Linked DNA regions of Oryctolagus cuniculus. The main gene of each other region encodes a partner of the protein of the gene in region 4 in a complex. Links are inferred from orthologs where the notes say so. Each region holds a gene or a part of one and is shown on either strand. Other genes may lie near its edges.

Evidence for each region.
Region 1: NSMCE3 (region 4) and NSMCE4A share a complex: the UniProt entries of both Homo sapiens proteins name them as parts of the SMC5-SMC6 complex. The link is inferred for Oryctolagus cuniculus from reciprocal best matches to the Homo sapiens genes NSMCE3 and NSMCE4A.
Region 2: the proteins of NSMCE3 (region 4) and NSMCE1 are in contact, whole or in part, in a crystal structure (PDB 7DG2), measured with the Xenopus laevis proteins. The link is inferred for Oryctolagus cuniculus from reciprocal best matches to the Homo sapiens genes NSMCE3 and NSMCE1. Residues at the interface, in XP_018121157.1 of Xenopus laevis: Gly57, Glu58, Val60, Gln61, Tyr62, Leu64, Ile65, Lys66, Gln68, Lys69, Val82, Thr100, Gln102, Gln103, Val104, Phe105, Gly106, Phe107, Asn123, Leu125, Gln126, Arg127, Val128, Gly130, Asp131, Gly132, Met133, Arg134, Asp136, Glu137; in NP_001083134.1 of Xenopus laevis: Ile5, Glu7, Gln10, Arg11, Leu13, Gln14, Ala15, Met17, Ser18, His19, Leu30, His33, Leu37, His38, Leu54, His57, Leu58, Pro60, Leu61, Phe62, Met63, Val84, Asn86, Ile88, Thr89, Met91, Ala92, Ser93, Asp94, Gln149.
Region 3: NSMCE3 (region 4) and NSMCE2 share a complex: the UniProt entries of both Homo sapiens proteins name them as parts of the SMC5-SMC6 complex. The link is inferred for Oryctolagus cuniculus from reciprocal best matches to the Homo sapiens genes NSMCE3 and NSMCE2.
Region 5: NSMCE3 (region 4) and SMC5 share a complex: the UniProt entries of both Homo sapiens proteins name them as parts of the SMC5-SMC6 complex. The link is inferred for Oryctolagus cuniculus from reciprocal best matches to the Homo sapiens genes NSMCE3 and SMC5.

Annotation. Positions count from the first base shown.
Region 1 is NC_091446.1:8,987,238-8,990,755, reverse strand, and holds part of NSMCE4A (non-structural maintenance of chromosomes element 4 homolog A), read right to left. Parts: intron 977-3,518; coding exon 825-976; intron 1-824. UniProt on the Homo sapiens protein: Component of the SMC5-SMC6 complex, a complex involved in DNA double-strand breaks by homologous recombination. The complex may promote sister chromatid homologous recombination by recruiting the SMC1-SMC3 cohesin complex to double-strand breaks.
Region 2 is NC_091450.1:12,350,650-12,354,167, reverse strand, and holds part of NSMCE1 (non-structural maintenance of chromosomes element 1 homolog), read right to left. Parts: intron 657-3,518; 5' UTR 646-656; coding exon 510-645; intron 1-509. UniProt on the Homo sapiens protein: RING-type zinc finger-containing E3 ubiquitin ligase that assembles with melanoma antigen protein (MAGE) to catalyze the direct transfer of ubiquitin from E2 ubiquitin-conjugating enzyme to a specific substrate.
Region 3 is NC_091437.1:150,978,839-150,982,356, forward strand, and holds part of NSMCE2 (E3 SUMO-protein ligase NSE2), read left to right. Parts: intron 1-1,075; coding exon 1,076-1,176; intron 1,177-1,522; coding exon 1,523-1,629; intron 1,630-3,518. UniProt on the Homo sapiens protein: E3 SUMO-protein ligase component of the SMC5-SMC6 complex, a complex involved in DNA double-strand break repair by homologous recombination. Is not be required for the stability of the complex.
Region 4 is NC_091443.1:11,538,448-11,541,333, reverse strand, and holds NSMCE3 (non-structural maintenance of chromosomes element 3 homolog), read right to left. Parts: upstream 1,731-2,886; 5' UTR 1,675-1,730; coding exon 847-1,674; 3' UTR 502-846; downstream 1-501. UniProt on the Homo sapiens protein: Component of the SMC5-SMC6 complex, a complex involved in repair of DNA double-strand breaks by homologous recombination. The complex may promote sister chromatid homologous recombination by recruiting the SMC1-SMC3 cohesin complex to double-strand breaks.
Region 5 is NC_091432.1:160,105,030-160,108,273, forward strand, and holds part of SMC5 (structural maintenance of chromosomes protein 5), read right to left. Parts: intron 411-3,244; coding exon 231-410; intron 144-230; coding exon 48-143; intron 1-47. UniProt on the Homo sapiens protein: Core component of the SMC5-SMC6 complex, a complex involved in repair of DNA double-strand breaks by homologous recombination.

The DNA.
Region 1 (3,518 bases), on a different chromosome or scaffold from region 4:
CTTAAGGCTCCATGTTTAGATCCCAGGATTCACGACAGACCTCAACACTCAACGGCAAAATAACAAAGACCTGGATTTTTATCCTAAGGAGGTCTGGTCATTTTCTTGTAATATCTGCAACGGCTCTCAGCCCGAGTGACCTAAGGCTGGACAGGAACGGAGGCCTGGCCCACACCACAGCCCTGCCACTTCCACAGAAGCCTGCCCAGGGAGACACCACGCGTCTCAGGAAGTTTACAGAGGCCGATCAGGACAGACAAACGTCCAGGAGGTGGACTGTTACGGAGGAAAGGACGGAAACAAGAGGGACAGTTTCCTCTGAACGAAGCATCTACTGGGAACTGCAGGCTGCCTTACACAAAACCACCAAGGGAGCTGGTTTTGGTTCCGCCAGGGGTCTCCCAGCTAGGAAGACAGAAGAAAATTTCACGTGACTACCAAGAAAAACTTGTCTTAAAACCAGGGCCGTATCCAAAAACAGAGCTGGGCAGTGTATGTTCGGACAAGGGCTTGAGTAGTCTTCACATATAGGTGAGTGACCGCCCAATGGGACGCCTGACGCCAGCCTCAGCAGGTGCACCTGCGTCCTCCTGCCCCAAGATCTCAAAGACACTCAAACAAGGATGGTAAGCCAGGACGCGGGATCCTTTAGCTTCCTCTCCCTGTGGAGAGTTTATGGGCTTTGCAATCAAAGTGTAGGAAGGCGCCGAGCACTGGCATCAGGGTTGTCACCACCACCCTACCAAATCATCTTTGTCCCTACGAGAAAAAACAGCGTAAGCTTTACAAATGGCTGGTCTGTCGGATTTTTAAAATAATCTTACAGAAAGTGGAATGTATGGGTTTTATTAAAGGTGTTTTCTGCTGTTTTGCCTGATATTTTCCAGGAGTCATAGACTATGAATTCAAAATCAGAACTATCTTCATCACGGATGAGTTCTTCAGCTTCTAGTGGATTTACACCCATATGTGTCAGCTACAAAAAATGAAGGAAGACAAAAAAACCCCAGTTAAGCCGCGAGCAATCATTCACCACATTCAACAATCTGCATCACTAACCCTTCCAGTGCCAGAGGCGAAGGCTATTTTCGGGGTCCTGCTCGGCTGCCCAGATTTCTCCTCCTACACGGCATCTCACACAGAAACGCCTGTTTTCCAAGGTCTCTTCTTTTTGGCAGAAAATACTCTCCCGTGCACTGAGAGCTTTTCTTTAGGTGGGAAGCGACATGACTCAGACCCAGAACTAGGCCCCCTGGGGACGCCTGCATCCCAGGCTGTCCCGGGCTCAGGCCAGCTCAGGCCAGCTCGACCAGCATAAACCTACAGAAGCTCCAGGACAGAGCCGGGGGTGGAGCTGGCTTTCAGACCTTAGGTTTCAGCCAGCCTCCCACCTGCTTAGCATCAGCAAGAGCTCAGCTCGCTTTAAAAGTACCTTCCAGGGCAGGACTGGTGAAGTTAAACAATTCTACCTTCCAGAAAATGCATTGTACTGAATTTACTTTTATGAAAGGACACATTTATTACATTATACTGTAAAGTACCTAGGAGTTACCAAGTCACGATGGCCGTATCATATAGAAACCATAATCACTAGGCCCCGGGAACATAACCCTATTGAAGACAACCAAACTGAAGAGGAGAAAGGCAACCAGAGCCTGGTCAGAGGGCCCGGTCAGCGCTGCTCTACCCTTGCCCGCCGCTCCTAGCACGGTACCCTCATAGCAAGACATTTGACCCGTCATTCACTTAAGGTTTTGCAAGTAATACTTTAGGACTTCAGGAATTTATTTTTGAGAGCTTTATCTCATAAACAGTAATTTTTTTAATTAATTAATTTATTTATTTTTGACAGGCAGAGTGGACAGTGAGAGAGAGAGACAGAGAGAAAGGTCTTCCTTTGCCGTTGGTTCACCCTCCAATGGCCGCCGCGGCCACCGCGCTGATCCGAAGCCAGGAGCCAGGTGCTTCTCCTGGTCTCCCATGGGGTGCAGGGCCCAAGGACTTGGGCCATCCTCCACTGCACTCCCTGGCCACAGCAGAGAGCTGGCCTGGAGGAGGGGCAACCGGGACAGAATCCGGCGCCCTGACCAGGACTAGAACCTGGTGTGCTGGTGCCGCAAGGCGGAGGATTAGCCTAGTGAGCCGCGGCGCTGGCCATAAACAGTAATTTTTAAAAATACCCAATATACAGCCACTCCGATGAGTGTGCATTTTCCTAAATGTGTTTCACTTCACAAATTTTTTTTAATTTAAGGTTTTAAAAACTACAAATTGCAGGCCGGCGCCGCGGCTCACTAGGCTAATCCTCCGCCTTGCGGCGCCGGCACACCGGGTTCTAGTCCCGGTTGGGGCGCCGGATTCTGTCCCGGTTGCCCCTCTTCCAGGCCAGCTCTCTGCTGTGGCCAGGGAGTGCAGTGGAGGATGGCCCAGGTGCTTGGGCCCTGCACCCCATGGGAGACCAGGAAGAGCACCTGGCTCCTGGCTCCTGCCATCGGATCAGCGCGGTGCGCCGGCTGCAGCGGCGGCCATTGGAGGGTGAACCAACGGCAAAGGAAGACCTTTCTCTCTGTCTCTCTCTCTCACTGTCCACCCTGCCTGTCAAAAAAAAAAAAAAAACTACAAATTGCAAACTGTCTGCCTCATGCCTCTACACATGCTTTATCGGGTTGAGACATCACAGCACTAAATCTGTTCAGTACCACGTGACACAACGACAGAAATTCAGTGTTTGAATCAAGGTGCCAGGACAGAGGCTGCCTCGGAGCAGAATCAGAAACAGACAAGGGGGCAGGGCTGGCTCAGCGGTGAGATGCCACTCGGGACATCCACACCCGGTATCAGGGCACCTGGGTGTGAGTCCCTGCTCTGCTTCCAGGTCTGGCTCCTGATCGCGGGCAGCCTATGGGGCAGCCAGCAAGTGACGGCTCAAGTATTTAGGTCCCTGCCACCCACATGGGAGACCTGGATTAAGTCCCAGGCTCCTCGCTTGGGTCTGGACCAACTCTGATATTTATAGAGCAAACCAGCAGAAGGAAGATCTGTCTCTATACATGTATCTCTCTCTCTCTCTGCCTCTCTCTCTCTCTTTTTTTTAATATGGTAAGATACAAGGTCAGTCTCTTTTTTTGGTAAATCCACCAAGGAAAAGTTATAAAATTTCAAGTAACAAGCATTCAAGCTTCAAAGACAAAGAAGGATGAATAAAACCGTATTTGTGCGGTTCTGAAATATTCTCAAAGACAGAACATCCCCCTTCTCCAGGCTTCTGCGCAGCCCAGCACAAAGGTTCCAGGTCACTGAGAATGACCCAGAACACTTATGAACTAAAAAACGGTCATTTGTAAATATCTGTAACACTCCAGAGTCTTAAACCAGAATGCAGAGATGCTCAGACCGCTCTAAGCGCCCACCCAATCCTGCACCACATAGCTCTGCTTCCCTCATTTAATCCGATCTTTTCAGGGGAACCTGAGGCCCAAAAAGCAGGATTTGGGGAGGCAAAGGAAATGAAGTAGAAC
Region 2 (3,518 bases), on a different chromosome or scaffold from region 4:
GAGCACTGACACATGGTCACCGAGACTATCACACACTCCTCCCAGGCCCACCAAGATGCTCCAAGTGCCCTCGGCTGGCCTGCGGCAGGGACTCCAGCACTCGCCCCAGGCTTGGCTGAGCCTAAGGCTGGGGCCTGAGTCATCATGCTGAACTGCCCTGCTAATGATCAACACCCAGCTGAGCGTCTTCAGCCGGGCCATCTGTCCGCTCCGTATGTAGCATGCTCCGAACTCTGAACCACCCTCTGTGTTACACACAACTACTGTCCCCCTTTAAAGAACGGAAAACTGAGGCTAGAGCAGGTGCTTGGAGCCTTGGTGTGAACCGTAACCACGCACTTTCAGAGTCCAGCGTTTTATACACCAGGCTAAACGTCACATTCCCTTGAGGGAGAAAAACGGCAGGCGAGGTGAGCAATACGACGGGTAGGAGACGAAAAGGCCGATGGTTACCTTGCTGCACGGTTACACCGACGTCACTCGTCCTTGATCAACACAACAGCACTTACAGTCATGGACCTTGTAGCAGTGCCTCTGCAGGCGCTCCATGTCCCATTCCTCCAGCACGCCGTGGGTCATCAGCAACTGCAGGAACCGCCGGTGGACGTCGGTCATGACGCCCGCCTTCCTCGTACTGCCCTGCATCTGTGAAGGAACTGAGAAAGTCAGCAAGAGTTCATCAGCTCCAAGCAACACCAGCAGGCGTTCTACAGTAACAAGGACAAATCTGCTAGGGTTTTAGAAGCAAAGTACCTCACACCAATCACTACGAAAGGGAAAAGGATGTGAGTCAGGGGCCAGGCGCATCAGTCCTGGGCAGTGCTGAGAAGCACGGCTTCTGCAGCCACCTCCACCACCTGCTACGTGTGTGAACTTGGCCAGCTGGGCCTACGTGTACTTCAGTTTCTGATCTGTAAAGTGGGGATAACAACAGAAATGCCCTCCGTAGAAGTGCTATGAAGGGGGCGGCATTGTGGTGCAGCGGGTCAAGCCGCCACTTGCAATGCCAGCATCCCATATGAGTGCTGGTTTGAAGCCTGGTGGCTCAACTTCTGATCCAGCTTGCTACTAACACATCTGGGAAAGCGGCAGAGGATGGCCCGAGGGCTTGGTCCTCTACACGCACAGGGGAGACCTGGATGGAGTTACGGGCTCCTAGCTTCAACCTCAACACGCCCTGGCAGCTGCAGCCATTTGGAGAACAGACCAGTGGATGGAAGCTCACTCACTCGCTTGCTTGCTCGCTCGCTCGCTCTCTATCTCTATCAGCCTGCCTTTCAAATAAACAAATCGTAAAAAGAAAAACACAAGGATCACTATGAAGAGGAGTTAACACGGTAACACAGTAAGCACAAACGAAGCACCAGCTATTGTCCCCGTTACCCAACAGTGAGTCTGAACCGTGGCTCAGTCTCTTAGCGGATCTATGGAGAAATGTAGCCAAGGCCCGATTTCTCCTGGTAAACTTCCAATAACACTCACTGCCTACAAAACTGCTGGTAAACTCTTCATGTTGGCTTCCTTCTCCTCTCCCTGAACCTCTAATAAGTCAACCTAAATGGCAGGACTGTGGGTTACTTTTAGAATCTGTTGCCTCTGATAAGATGGTCTCTTTCCACAAACCACGGAGAGGGCGGCTGATAGCGGAGTTACAGAGCCCTGATTTCGGCGTCTGCTCCTGGCTTGGCGAGGCAGCACAGGGCAGGCACTGCAGCTAACAGGCGGCGGCACGGAGACGTGCAGATCTTAAGCATCATGTAGTCTGCATGCTTAGAAATACAGATGCCCAGGCCCCTTCCCTGGAAGACTGACTACAGAGGGACCTGGAATTCTGACTAGCTGACATTCACTTTTAGGGGATACCCTGATCTGATAAGAAAGTCCCTATCGCCTTAGGCAAACAGGGCATGACCCTGTGACAGTCTTGTTATCTATAAAACAAGGATAATAACCACCCTAAGTGCACAGAATGAAATTTAAATGAGATTCAGCTACTAAACACTTGCCAAGAATCTGGGATACTCACATGAAAGATCCACAAAAATGCTATTTACTGTTTATTTAAACAGCAACATCACCTAGACCTCAGAGGCATCTTGGGGCTCGTGCTGTGGCATAGCAGATAAAGCCACCTGGCAGTGCTAGCATCCCATATGGGCTCTGGTTTGAGTCCCAGCTGCTCCACTTCCGATCCAGCTCCCTGTTAATGCACCTGGGAAAGCAAAAGAAGATGTCCCAAGTACTCAGACCCCTGCACCCAAGTGGGAGACCCTGAAGAAGCTCCTGGTTCCTGGCTTTAGCCTGGCCCAGCCCTGACCGTTGTGGCCATTTGGGGAGTGAACCAGCAGAGGAAGATCTCACTCTCTCACTCTCTCTCTCTCTCTCTCTGCTTCTCCTTCTCTGTAACTTCTTCAAATAAAGGTTGTTTTTTTTTTTTTTTAAAGATTTACTTATTTATTTGAAAGGCAGAATTACAGAGCAGCAAAGGCAGAGAGAGAGAGAGGTCTTCCATCCGCTGGTTCACTCCCCAGATGGCCCAATGGCCAGAGCTGTGCCGATCCAAAGCCAGGAGCCAGGAGCTTCTTCTGGGTCTCCCACGCAGGTGCAGGGGCCCAAGGACTTGGGCCATCTTGCACTGCTTTCCCAGGGCATAGCAGAGAGCTGGATCAGAAGTGGAGCAGCCGGGACTCAAAGCGCTGCCCATATGGGATGCCAGCACTGCAGGCAGCAGCTTCACCCACCACGCCAAGGTGCCGGCCTCTCATATAAATCTTTTTAAAGAACTAAAACCAGAGGCGTCCCATGACCAGTCTCTCTGTGTGCTGGACACCACGGAGAGCATCTCACCAGCAGCTCCACATCAACAAATCCAAGCCAGACTCCAACTCTGCTTCCTCCACCCTCAACTCCTTTCCTCCCCAGAGCCCTTCTCTCTGTGAAATCACCCGGTTTAGACGACACAGGCCACACAGTCACACAAAGCACACACCTGAGCACCACCGTGTGGTCCTCCTCGCCCTCAGCCTCACACCCGGCCAGCAGTCAAGTTTATTTCCCAGAAGGTACCTGCATTCACCCGCCCCGCTTAGTGATGCGAGCACCACCCTACTTGCCAAGGGTTGTTCTGGAAGCAGGGGTAGAAGGTGCTTTGGGCTCAGGCATCTGGATTTTTTACCCATAAGCTCTGGAGACGAAGACTCTCCCAACTAAGGGTCCCTAAGCAGGACGTTGATACGACCTAGGTGCGTCTTAGATCCGCTTTGATACCGTGGAGGCGACCAGGGGGCAAAGAGTGCAGTTAGAAAGCAGAAAGTCCTGGAAGGAAGCGGGAGGCAGAGGAAGCAGCTCAGTCCATGGAACGGATCCTGCAAAAGGGGACGAGCACAGTACCAAGGCTTAGCAGTGGGGACGAATGACAAGAACTGCGACCACCATGATTCCCACAAGGGCTCATGCAGGATCAGCTGCTAGATACCCACCGAAGCAGAGCACAGTAAACATTCAGAATACTACAGGTG
Region 3 (3,518 bases), on a different chromosome or scaffold from region 4:
TAAGGCTTTTATATGATACTAACTCCTACTGTCTCCTTCAAAAATCGTCTGTCATCTCCTTTTCCCTAAGTGAGGGGAAAGCGCAATTTAATGAAAAGAAGAAGCAGACAGTGCCATGTTCAAAGCCAGCACTACCACTCATCCTCCAGCAGTTCTCAAAACGTGACCAGGGAACCCCTAGAGTTCTCCAAGAGCCTTTTCAGGGCAGCTGTCAAGTCAGAACTGCTCTCATAATAACATGAGGTCATTTGCCTTTTTCATTCTCATTCTTTCCATGGGTGAATTTTCCCAGAAGCTGTAGGACATGTGATATTGTGGCCAATTAAGTGCATGCACAAATATCAAAATCCAACTGTCTTCTGTCAAGCCAAGCATTAAAGGTACTTAGAAAAACTGTGAAGCAGGGCCACTCTTCTCACTTGGGACAAGGGGTGGACAGGATGGTTTCTGGAAAATATGCTAACTTTTAATTCTTACAAAATATCTGTTACCATGTAAAGGGATTTTATTTTTTAAATAAATTAATACATAGTTTTTAATTCTTCAGTTTTAATATCTATCATTGGTAAATATAATTCACATGAAAAAAGTTCTTTGGAGATCCTCATTAATACCCAGAAATATGAAAGGGTTTAAGCCTACGAGCCACACACCACACACATTACCTAATAGCAGGTACCACTTAGCACTTCCTTGTGCCAGGAGCGGTGCAGAAGCACACCACCTTCTGTGTCCCTTCCTCATGTTTGCGGCTAGCTCAGGGTCTCAGAGCAGGACGGGAGGGAGCTAACCAGGTCCCCCAGTTCACACTCTGGATTACCAGACAGTATCTCCAAAAGTTAATTCTCTGTGGCTTTGAAGAGTATTTTTACTGCTCTGAGCCTCAGTTTCCTTAGCAGGAATGGGCAGAATCCTGTGCCTTGCAGAGTTCTCTCGAGAGCAGAACAATTCCGAGGCCTCCAGGGGCCTCGCACAGAGACTCATGCCACGTAGAGCCCACTGTCCTTCCATTCCTTCCGCATCTGTGGGGTGAAGGCAGGCCGAGGAGGCTCACCCGCTCCTCCTTTCCCTCTAGATGGTCTTCAGGCGGACAGAGAGGCCGACGGAACAGAAGGAGTGGACGAAGACATGATCGTGACCCAGAGTCAGACCAACTTCATCTGCCCCATTACGCAGGTACTGGTTCCTCTTTCCACCCCTGTCAGAGAAGCAGTTGGCTTCCCAGGGGCAAAATGGTTCCTGCTGGCTTTCTGGTTTGATTTCACATTTGGAGTTAAGGCGGGAGAAAAGATAAGTGATGCAGACTAAGGCATATACAGGGCAGGCTTTCCTTCCAGCATACCCTGAAGGATCTAGGGAAAAGTTCATGGCCAATGACACTGGTGCCCCGGTTTCCCTGCTTGTCCTTATCTTAAGCCTCATAGTTACCTAAGGCCATGAGAAAGCCCAGGACTAGGGGAAAGAGAGCTACTGGAAATTGATCGTTATCATTCCTGAAAGCCTAATGTCTCCTTGATTGCAGTTGGAAATGAAGAAGCCAGTGAAAAACAAAGTGTGCGGCCACACCTACGAAGAGGAAGCCATTGTTCGCATGATTGAGTCCAAGCACAGGCGGAAGAAAAAGGCCTGGTGAGTTGACGCGGGAGCGGAAGCGGGGCCTCCGCGGTGGGCAGCCAGGGCCGCTGTGCCAGAGGTCAGGCCAGAGGAAGAGACACTCAGTGTCTGCCCGAGATCACATTCGCCTCCCGGACAGTGTAAACATGGAAGCTGACTTTCTGGAAAAACCATTCAGCTGGGAAAGATTAGCAATCTGTTCAGGAAAAGCCGAAGGAACTCCAGCCACACCTTGAAACAGAAGGAAAAAGGTTGGATTGAATTCTAATCATGAGATTATAGGAGTTTTATGAATGTGTGCAATTAAAAACCTAGCCTGAAGAACATAAAGGAGAACTGTAAGACTCAAATGTGCCCTCTCTTTGTATATACACTTCCCCAAACAAGAGGGAATGTAAGTTGTTTTAAGGCTTGTTTTGTTTCGTTTTGCTTTCTGCAATACAGCTAATTTGCTTTAAAAGTATTTTAAGGGGACCGCCGCTGTGGCACAGCAGGTAAAGCTGCCACCAACAATGCCGGCATCCCACATGGGTGCTGGTTTGAGACCCGGCTGCTCCATTTCCGATCCAGCTCTCTGCTATGGCCTGGGAAAGCAGTAAATGATGGCCCAAGTGCTTGGGCCCCTGCACCCACGTGGGAGACTTGGAAGAAGCTCCTTATGCCTGGCTTCAGCCTGGCCCAGCCTCGGCCTTTGGGGCCATCTGGGGAGTGAACCAGCAGATGGAAGATTCTCTCTCTGTGTGTCTCTGTCTCTCTCTCTCTCACTCTGCCTTTCAAATAAATAAAATAAGTTTTGAAAAATTATTTTAAGTAGACACTCTAAGATGACAAGTCACATCCCCTGGCCTTGATGAATCCCATTTTATTATCAGGGGGTACTTGCCACATATTTAATTATTTAACTAACTTCCTAAAAGATTCAAGTAAACTCATGGGTGACTGATCAGTGAGGTTTATTTTAATGGAGGTTCTGAGGAATCTTTCGTGTGTTTATTCCCTCCCCAAGATCTCAAAGGACTGTGGCTCTGATTCTGTATTAACATAGAACTCTGAGTGAGCTAGACTGGCTCCGGCTTGGACTCAGTTCGGCATCTCTTGTGCGCTTATCACAGGTTTGTCTTTGCCGCAGGAATGGAATGGCAGGTGTGACCAGGTCTCAAGAGCTTTTTGATAACAGTCCCTTTGATGTGTGGTTTGTCTCTGTCGCCCAGAAATTCGCTGTTCCAGACCTCGAGTTGGAATTCCCCACCACTCCCTAGAGATTGGATATTTGGAGGCTGTAGGTATCTTAATGGTCATTCAGTCAGGTAATTTACCCTGTTTATTCTAGAAGAATAATGGTTTTGCAGCCTCGTGGTTGCAAACTCTAGCCTACATCATTCGCACGTTTTGATCTGTTTGGAGTTCCCACTTCGTAGTTGAAATGTCTCCTCCCTGCTGAACCTGTCCTCTCCTCTGTGATTATAATTTTCTGTTGTTTCTGGACTTCCAGATCTCTTTTGCAATGAACTTTTTTCTGTGTTCGTTCTCTGAAAAGCCAAAATATTGTTAACATGATTGCTAAAAACAGATATTCCTAGATAGATTTATTTGCTAGCTCTTCTTACTCCAAGTTTGTGACGTCCCCCTGTAGTCAAATAAGGAAAAGGCAGGTACTGTTACAAAGCGCATTCCTCCCCACAAGGACAAGGATATGTGCCAGTGACTCCCAGAATAGACATCCTGCCTAGTTCGATCTCCTTTATTTGTTTTTATTTATTTAAAGAGAGAGTGGAGGCCTGCACTGTGGGCTGTGGCATAGCAGGTAAAGCCGCCACCTGCAGTGCCGGCATCCCATATGGGCACAGTTTGAGACCCAGCTGCTCCACTCCAATCCAGCTCTCTGCTGTGGCCTGGGAAAGCAG
Region 4 (2,886 bases):
CGGACTAAGAAGAAAAAAAATCTTCTTTCTGAATAACTTTACAAAGGGGCTGTGACAGGAGTCTTAGGTAAACTTCCCTGTTCACGCCGGCATCGGCCACCTCACAGGCTAGGCCCCGTCAGTTCACACACCTGGGCCGTCCGGCAGGCAGGTGGGTCACTGACCGAGACACACATTTCACACCGTGAAGCTACGCAAATACTTTTTTTACATCAACTTCTACAGAACGCTATGAACATTAATATGCAAGAGATTTAAAAACGCGCATGACTAACCACTTTAAAATACAGCATTTATCGTTAACGGCTACGTAGTTAGAGGGAAGAAAAGCCGCCCAATGGAACTGAGCGATGAGCCACACAGCTGAGTAACAATCGTGAGCCCAAAACCCTCTTGGAGGCACAGGAGGCCATCGCTCGGAGTCACGGCCGCGGCCCGGGGCAGGAAGCCTGTGAAATCCGCGTGTTACTCTAACAAGGACAGACGGTTCTAGTCGCACGGTCAACTTTGCAAACAGCTTTATTTTCCTTACAAATGGGGGTAGGAGACGTGAAATCACTTCTCTGCTTTTATATTCTCGGCACCGAGGTCCTGCGCTCACGCGCTTTCTTAAACACCTGTCCCAGGGCACGGCACGCAGCGCTCCGGTTAGTCTTACAAAGCCAGCAAGATTTTATACAAAATAACAACACGACGGCAAAGTCTAAACCGGGGGTGGGGGCAAAAGCCGCCGCTCCCCCAAGCCTGCTTCGAGGCGGCGGCCTGGGAGCAGACAGCAGGGGCCGGGGGAGGCGAGCCCACCCACCCACCCACCCCCGGGCGCCCCTCCCGCCCGCGCCGCGGGCTTCAGCAGGTGGCGGCCGGCCCGCTGGGCTGGGGCTGCGGCCGGGCCCGGCTCTCCTCGTCCGCCAGGGCCTCGCAGTACTGCGCCGGCCAGTCCTTGGGGTCCTGGTTGTGCACTTTGGCCACGAACTTGAGCACCTTCATCTTGCTCGTCTCCAGGCTGGTGCGCGGGCCCCACTGGAACTCGTAGTCCACGGGGTCCGTGTGCGGGATCCGCCGGTACTCCAGGTAGCGCTGCCGCACGAAGTCCTCGGTGAGCAGCTTCTTGGGGTCCCCGAAGACCACGTGCCGCTTGGTGGGGTGCACGCCCAGCCGCCGCAGGAAGTCCCACACCTCCGTCTCCTTCACCGCGTTGCCCTTCATGAAGATGAGCCCCAGCACGATCATCAGCAGGCCCGTGGTGGGCGTGCCCTGGTCGCCCCGCACCGCCGCGTCCTCCTCCACCGGCTCCAGCGTGTTCACCAGGATGTACGCGTTGCTGCGGGGCTCCAGCTCCACCAGCTTGTAGCCGAACACGTACTGCAGCCGCTCGCCGGCCAGCCGCAGCAGGTCCGGCAGGACGTCCTTGTAGTCGCCCAGCACGTGCTTCGCGATGTCCGTGCGCTTGATGGGGATCTTCTTCTGGTCCTTGACCAGCAGGAACTGCACCAGCTCCGCCACCTTCAGCTCCAGCTGCTTCTGAGTCCTGGGCCCCACCGACGGGGCGCTCAGCGCCTCCTGCGAGCCGCCCGGCCCGCGGGACGTGCTCGGCGTCTCCTCGGCGGCGCCGCGGCCCCCGTCCCTGTCGGCCTGGGAACTGGACCGGCCCCGGCTCCGGGCTTTCTGCAACATGGCTCCAGGCAGCGGGGCGGGGGCCGCAGCGGGGCGGGGGCCGCAACGGCCGGAAGCGGCGGGGATTGTGGGTCGGCGCGAGGCGCCAGGGGGCGGGGCCACGCGGCGTGCGTCCCCGTGCGTGCTGCGTCACGGGGGGCGGCGCTGGGCATGCGCAGCCGCGCCTGCGGAAGGGCGGCGCGGTGCTGCTGGTGGGAGTGATGGGTTAATCGGGTTAGAAAGAGACCACCAAACTCCTGCTCTAGGGTGCGGCTAATTTCAGGCCCGCACGGGCGCGGGGCGGTTACGGGCGGTATTAAGAGGTTTAGCATCGGGCGCCTTTGTGGATGGAGTGGCCGAGGCCGCCACGGCGTGGGAGGCTGGAGCGCCCGCTGCGGCGCAGACCGTGGAGGTCGAGACACGCGAGCCGCAGGGCGTCCTTGACCTTGGCGCCCGCCCTCGTGTCCTCCGGGGTGTGCGGGACACGAGGGGCTGGCGGCCACTGCCCGCGGCGGGGGGCCGGGGAACGCGGCGCCCGCGGGCACGGCCCTGGGCCCGCAGCCACGCCCGGGGCAGGACCCGGAGACATTCCCACTTCCTCGGAGGCCTCGCGGATGCGAGCTGCGCTAACGTGCATCTCCTAGACGCCTTCATTGCAAACTCCCCAGCCACTGGGATCCGTAGCAAAGCGCACAGGGGGTCCGCGACGTGTGCAGTTTGCATGCATTTTCAATTGTGCAACGCGTCGTTCCATTAACTCGAGCGATCAGCAATCTGCTGGCGCGCCTACAGATTTTAGCAAGTGTGTTTCTTCTCGACTTGCAAGGAAACTCAATTTCCCCGTCTTTTTTTTTTTAAAGCTACCGGGAAAATGGGTAAACTTCTCTAGGAACTAAATTAAATTGAGTTCCTCTTTAATGCAAATATATTCCGCGGAAAGCAATTCAGAGCCCATTATTTGAATAACAGCACCAAAGCACAGCCTTATTAACATTCCATTGAAGGAGAGTCACATAAAATTTTTGTTTATAATTCAATATGAAAATGCAATCTGATAATGGCACCCACACCACCCCAGTGCTAACCGTGAAGTCTTAATCCACGCTGTGGTGCAGTATGATCAAAATGCTAGCTGGGAGCAGTCGCTCTCCCACACCGAATCCACCGAAGGGGCCCCTCGCGGCAGTCTTAATGAGAGGCTGCCGCGGTTAGAGTGTCCCGCAAAGTTCATGT
Region 5 (3,244 bases), on a different chromosome or scaffold from region 4:
TGGGGGGTTCTGAGTATGTGAACACTTTCAGGTTACTTATTACCTACCTTTGGTGTAATAAAGAAGTATTGAGATGTATTTTCTTTACAGGCAGTATTTACAACCATTTCAAACACTCTCCGTTCATTGATGGGGTCCATTCCCTGGACAATGACAACAATAACGAATGCCCATGTAAATTTACTACAGGATACAGTAGGATTTAAGTGTAAAAAGAATAATCACCAGACCTGGTTGATTTCATCGACTACTCTGAATGGACATCTGTTCAGCTCCTGAAGTGCCATCAAGTATAACATAGTAGAAACACTTCGTTCACCTCCACTTTGATGATGAGGAGTTAATTCATGCAGTTGAGTACTGCTGCGAAATTTCACTCTAATTCGAATTCCGTATTTATCATAGTCTTCCTATAAAACATTTAAAAAGCTGATGAAACATGACAGCTTTCTCTGCTACTTTCATTCCAATCGAAAAAAGACTGAATAAATCAATTGTATGAGTAAATGCAGCAGGTTGGGCTTCTTGTGACAAGTCCCAGCTGCTTCACTTCCAATCTGCTCTCTGCTGAAGAACGCGGGTAGGCAGCAGATGACCCAAGTGCTTGGGACCCTGCCAACCAGGTAAGAGACCCTGACAGAGCACCGGGCTCCTGGCTTCAGCCTGGCCAAACCCTGGCCATTGCAGTTATTTGGGGAGTGAACCAGCGGATGGAAGTTCTCTCTCTTATTCTCTCTCCCTCTGTAACTGTACTTTTCAAATAAATAAAATAAATAAATAAAAAAAAAAGAATTTAAAATTTAGTGATACCATCAAGTTTAAAGCAATACAACATTAACCAAGTAGCTACTATTTAGAAGCTTTAATATCTCCAAAGATCTATTTAGACATGGAAAATATATTAAGAAGCAGGGCTGGCGCTGTGTGTGGTGTAGCATGTAAAGCCGCTGCCTGCAGTGTCGGCATCCCATATGGACACCGGTTCGAGTCTCAGCTGCTCCACTTCCAATCCAGCTCTCTGCTGTAGCCTGGGAAAGCAGTGGAAGATGGCCCAAGTGCCTGGACCACTGGACCCGTGTGGGAGAACTGGAAGAAGCTCCTGGCTTTGGATTGGGTCAGTTTCGGCCGTTGCGGTCAATTAGGGAATAAACCAGCAGATAGAAGATCTCTTTCTCTCTCTCTCTGCCTCTCCTTCTCTCTCTGTGTAACTCTGACTTTCAAATAAATAAATAAAAAAAGAAAAGAAAATATATTCAGATTAAAATGATTGCTTTTTACAGAGGTAAAAATAATCGCCAAGTCTTCCTCACACCTCTTTGGCTGGTTAAAAAGAAAAGTGGATAAGAATTATATACATATTTTGAAAAACACTGTATCTATTACAATGTCATATCCAGGTTAATTAGTTACATATTTACCTTAAAAATCACATAAATCACAATTAAAAGCTAACTATTTAATATACAGAGCTTTAAGTGCTAACAACGCAAGCCATATAGGATATTTAAAATTTACATAAAAAATATAAATTGGTGAACTAATTTTAATGTACATTTTATTTAACCTAACATATCTAAAATATCATTTCAACATGTAACCATAATGTTATTAATGAGATAATTTGATTTTTTCATACTAAGTCTGTGAAATCTGGTATGTATTATACAGTGAACATATCTTTTACCTGTTTCAAGACATGTATACTTTGCAACTGGTCTAAGATTAACAGTGTTATAAGCATGTCAAGCATGTTAACAATAAATGTAAGGATTCTGGTAGGCTGTCAAATCTTAGAAATACCACTTTATTCCGTTTACTTTCCTAAGACTGAGCCAAAACAAAGAAATAACATAATGAATTTGTTAGTTTTGACTCCCAAGGTTTACCTTTTAACTTACATTCCACTTTTCTTCCACAATAATTTTATTTACTATTTCATTTCTTAACCATACCAGCTTTGATTACTAGAGTTTTATTTCTGGCTCTGCCAACTATTCTCTGCCGTTTCTGCCCCCATTCTAGTGTCTCCCATTTCTCTGAAGGTTCTGGAAAAAGAAAGTGGTTCTAGAAATAAAATAAATAAAAGCATTCCAACGGGAAGGCTGAGAAGAGCCAAGAATGTTCATCACCCAGGGACCCTAGGCTGGGCAAGAAAATTTCACTGAAAATATTGAGTCATCTCTGCGATGGGGCAGCTATCACTGAGAACACTAAAAGCTATCTGGAAGAAACAACACATGATAAAGCTATCGTATATCGTATCATGCAAGAAATGGGACCTAGATTAAAGAATGGGATTTTTATTTATTTATCTATTTTAGAAGTAGAGTTACAGACAGTGAGAGGGAGAGACAGAGAGAAAACCTTCCTTCCGGTGGTGCACTCCAGATGGCCACAATGGCTGGAGCTGGGCAGGTCAGAAGCCAGGAGCCAGGAGCTTCTTCCAAGTCTCCTGCATGGGTGCACGGGCTCAAGGACTTGGGCCACCTTCTGCTGCTTTCCCAGGCCACAGCAGAGAGCTGGATCAGAAGAGGAGCAGCCGGGACTAGAACCAGTGCCCAAACAGGATGCCAGCAACACAGGATGAGGCTCAACACTGCTGCCCCACAGCACCAGTCCCAAGAATAGGATTTCTATGACAGGTCATCAGTTCTACAGGTTTCCTTCCTGTGCTTACTTTTGATTATCCTTATGCCTTATCTGGTCAAGTTGTCTGATAAAGGTACTAAAGCTACTTTGACTAGGATGAAGCTCCTAGTAATCAAACTTATTTGGGATCAGATCTGGAGATGAGTCTGCCACTTAGTGACCTGTAGTAAATTTATCTTAAGTTTCAGCTTATTTATTTGTAAAATAGGGTTGATAAAAGCACCTGCTTCAGAGGATAGTTTGAGGATTAAAGAAGGTAAGTTTAAAAGTGCCTGGCACAAAAGAAACATACTTTTCACTTATGTTTCATACTGAGCAAATGAAGGAACCATGGGCAAAACTAAGGGGAGAAAGCAGTGCTATCTTGCCTTATATTCATGTACGTAACACAATGCAAAACTGCATACACACCAAAACACACAATTAAAAAGCTACAAGAAAAAAGGATTTTATTCTCTTTATTTCTTTCTTATTAAAAAATTTCATTGCAAGGGCAACACGTGGCATAACAAGTTAAGCTGCTGCTCAGAACATCTGTATCCCTGTATTGGAGTGCTCGCGTTAAGTCTTGGTTACTCCACTTCTAACCCTGCTT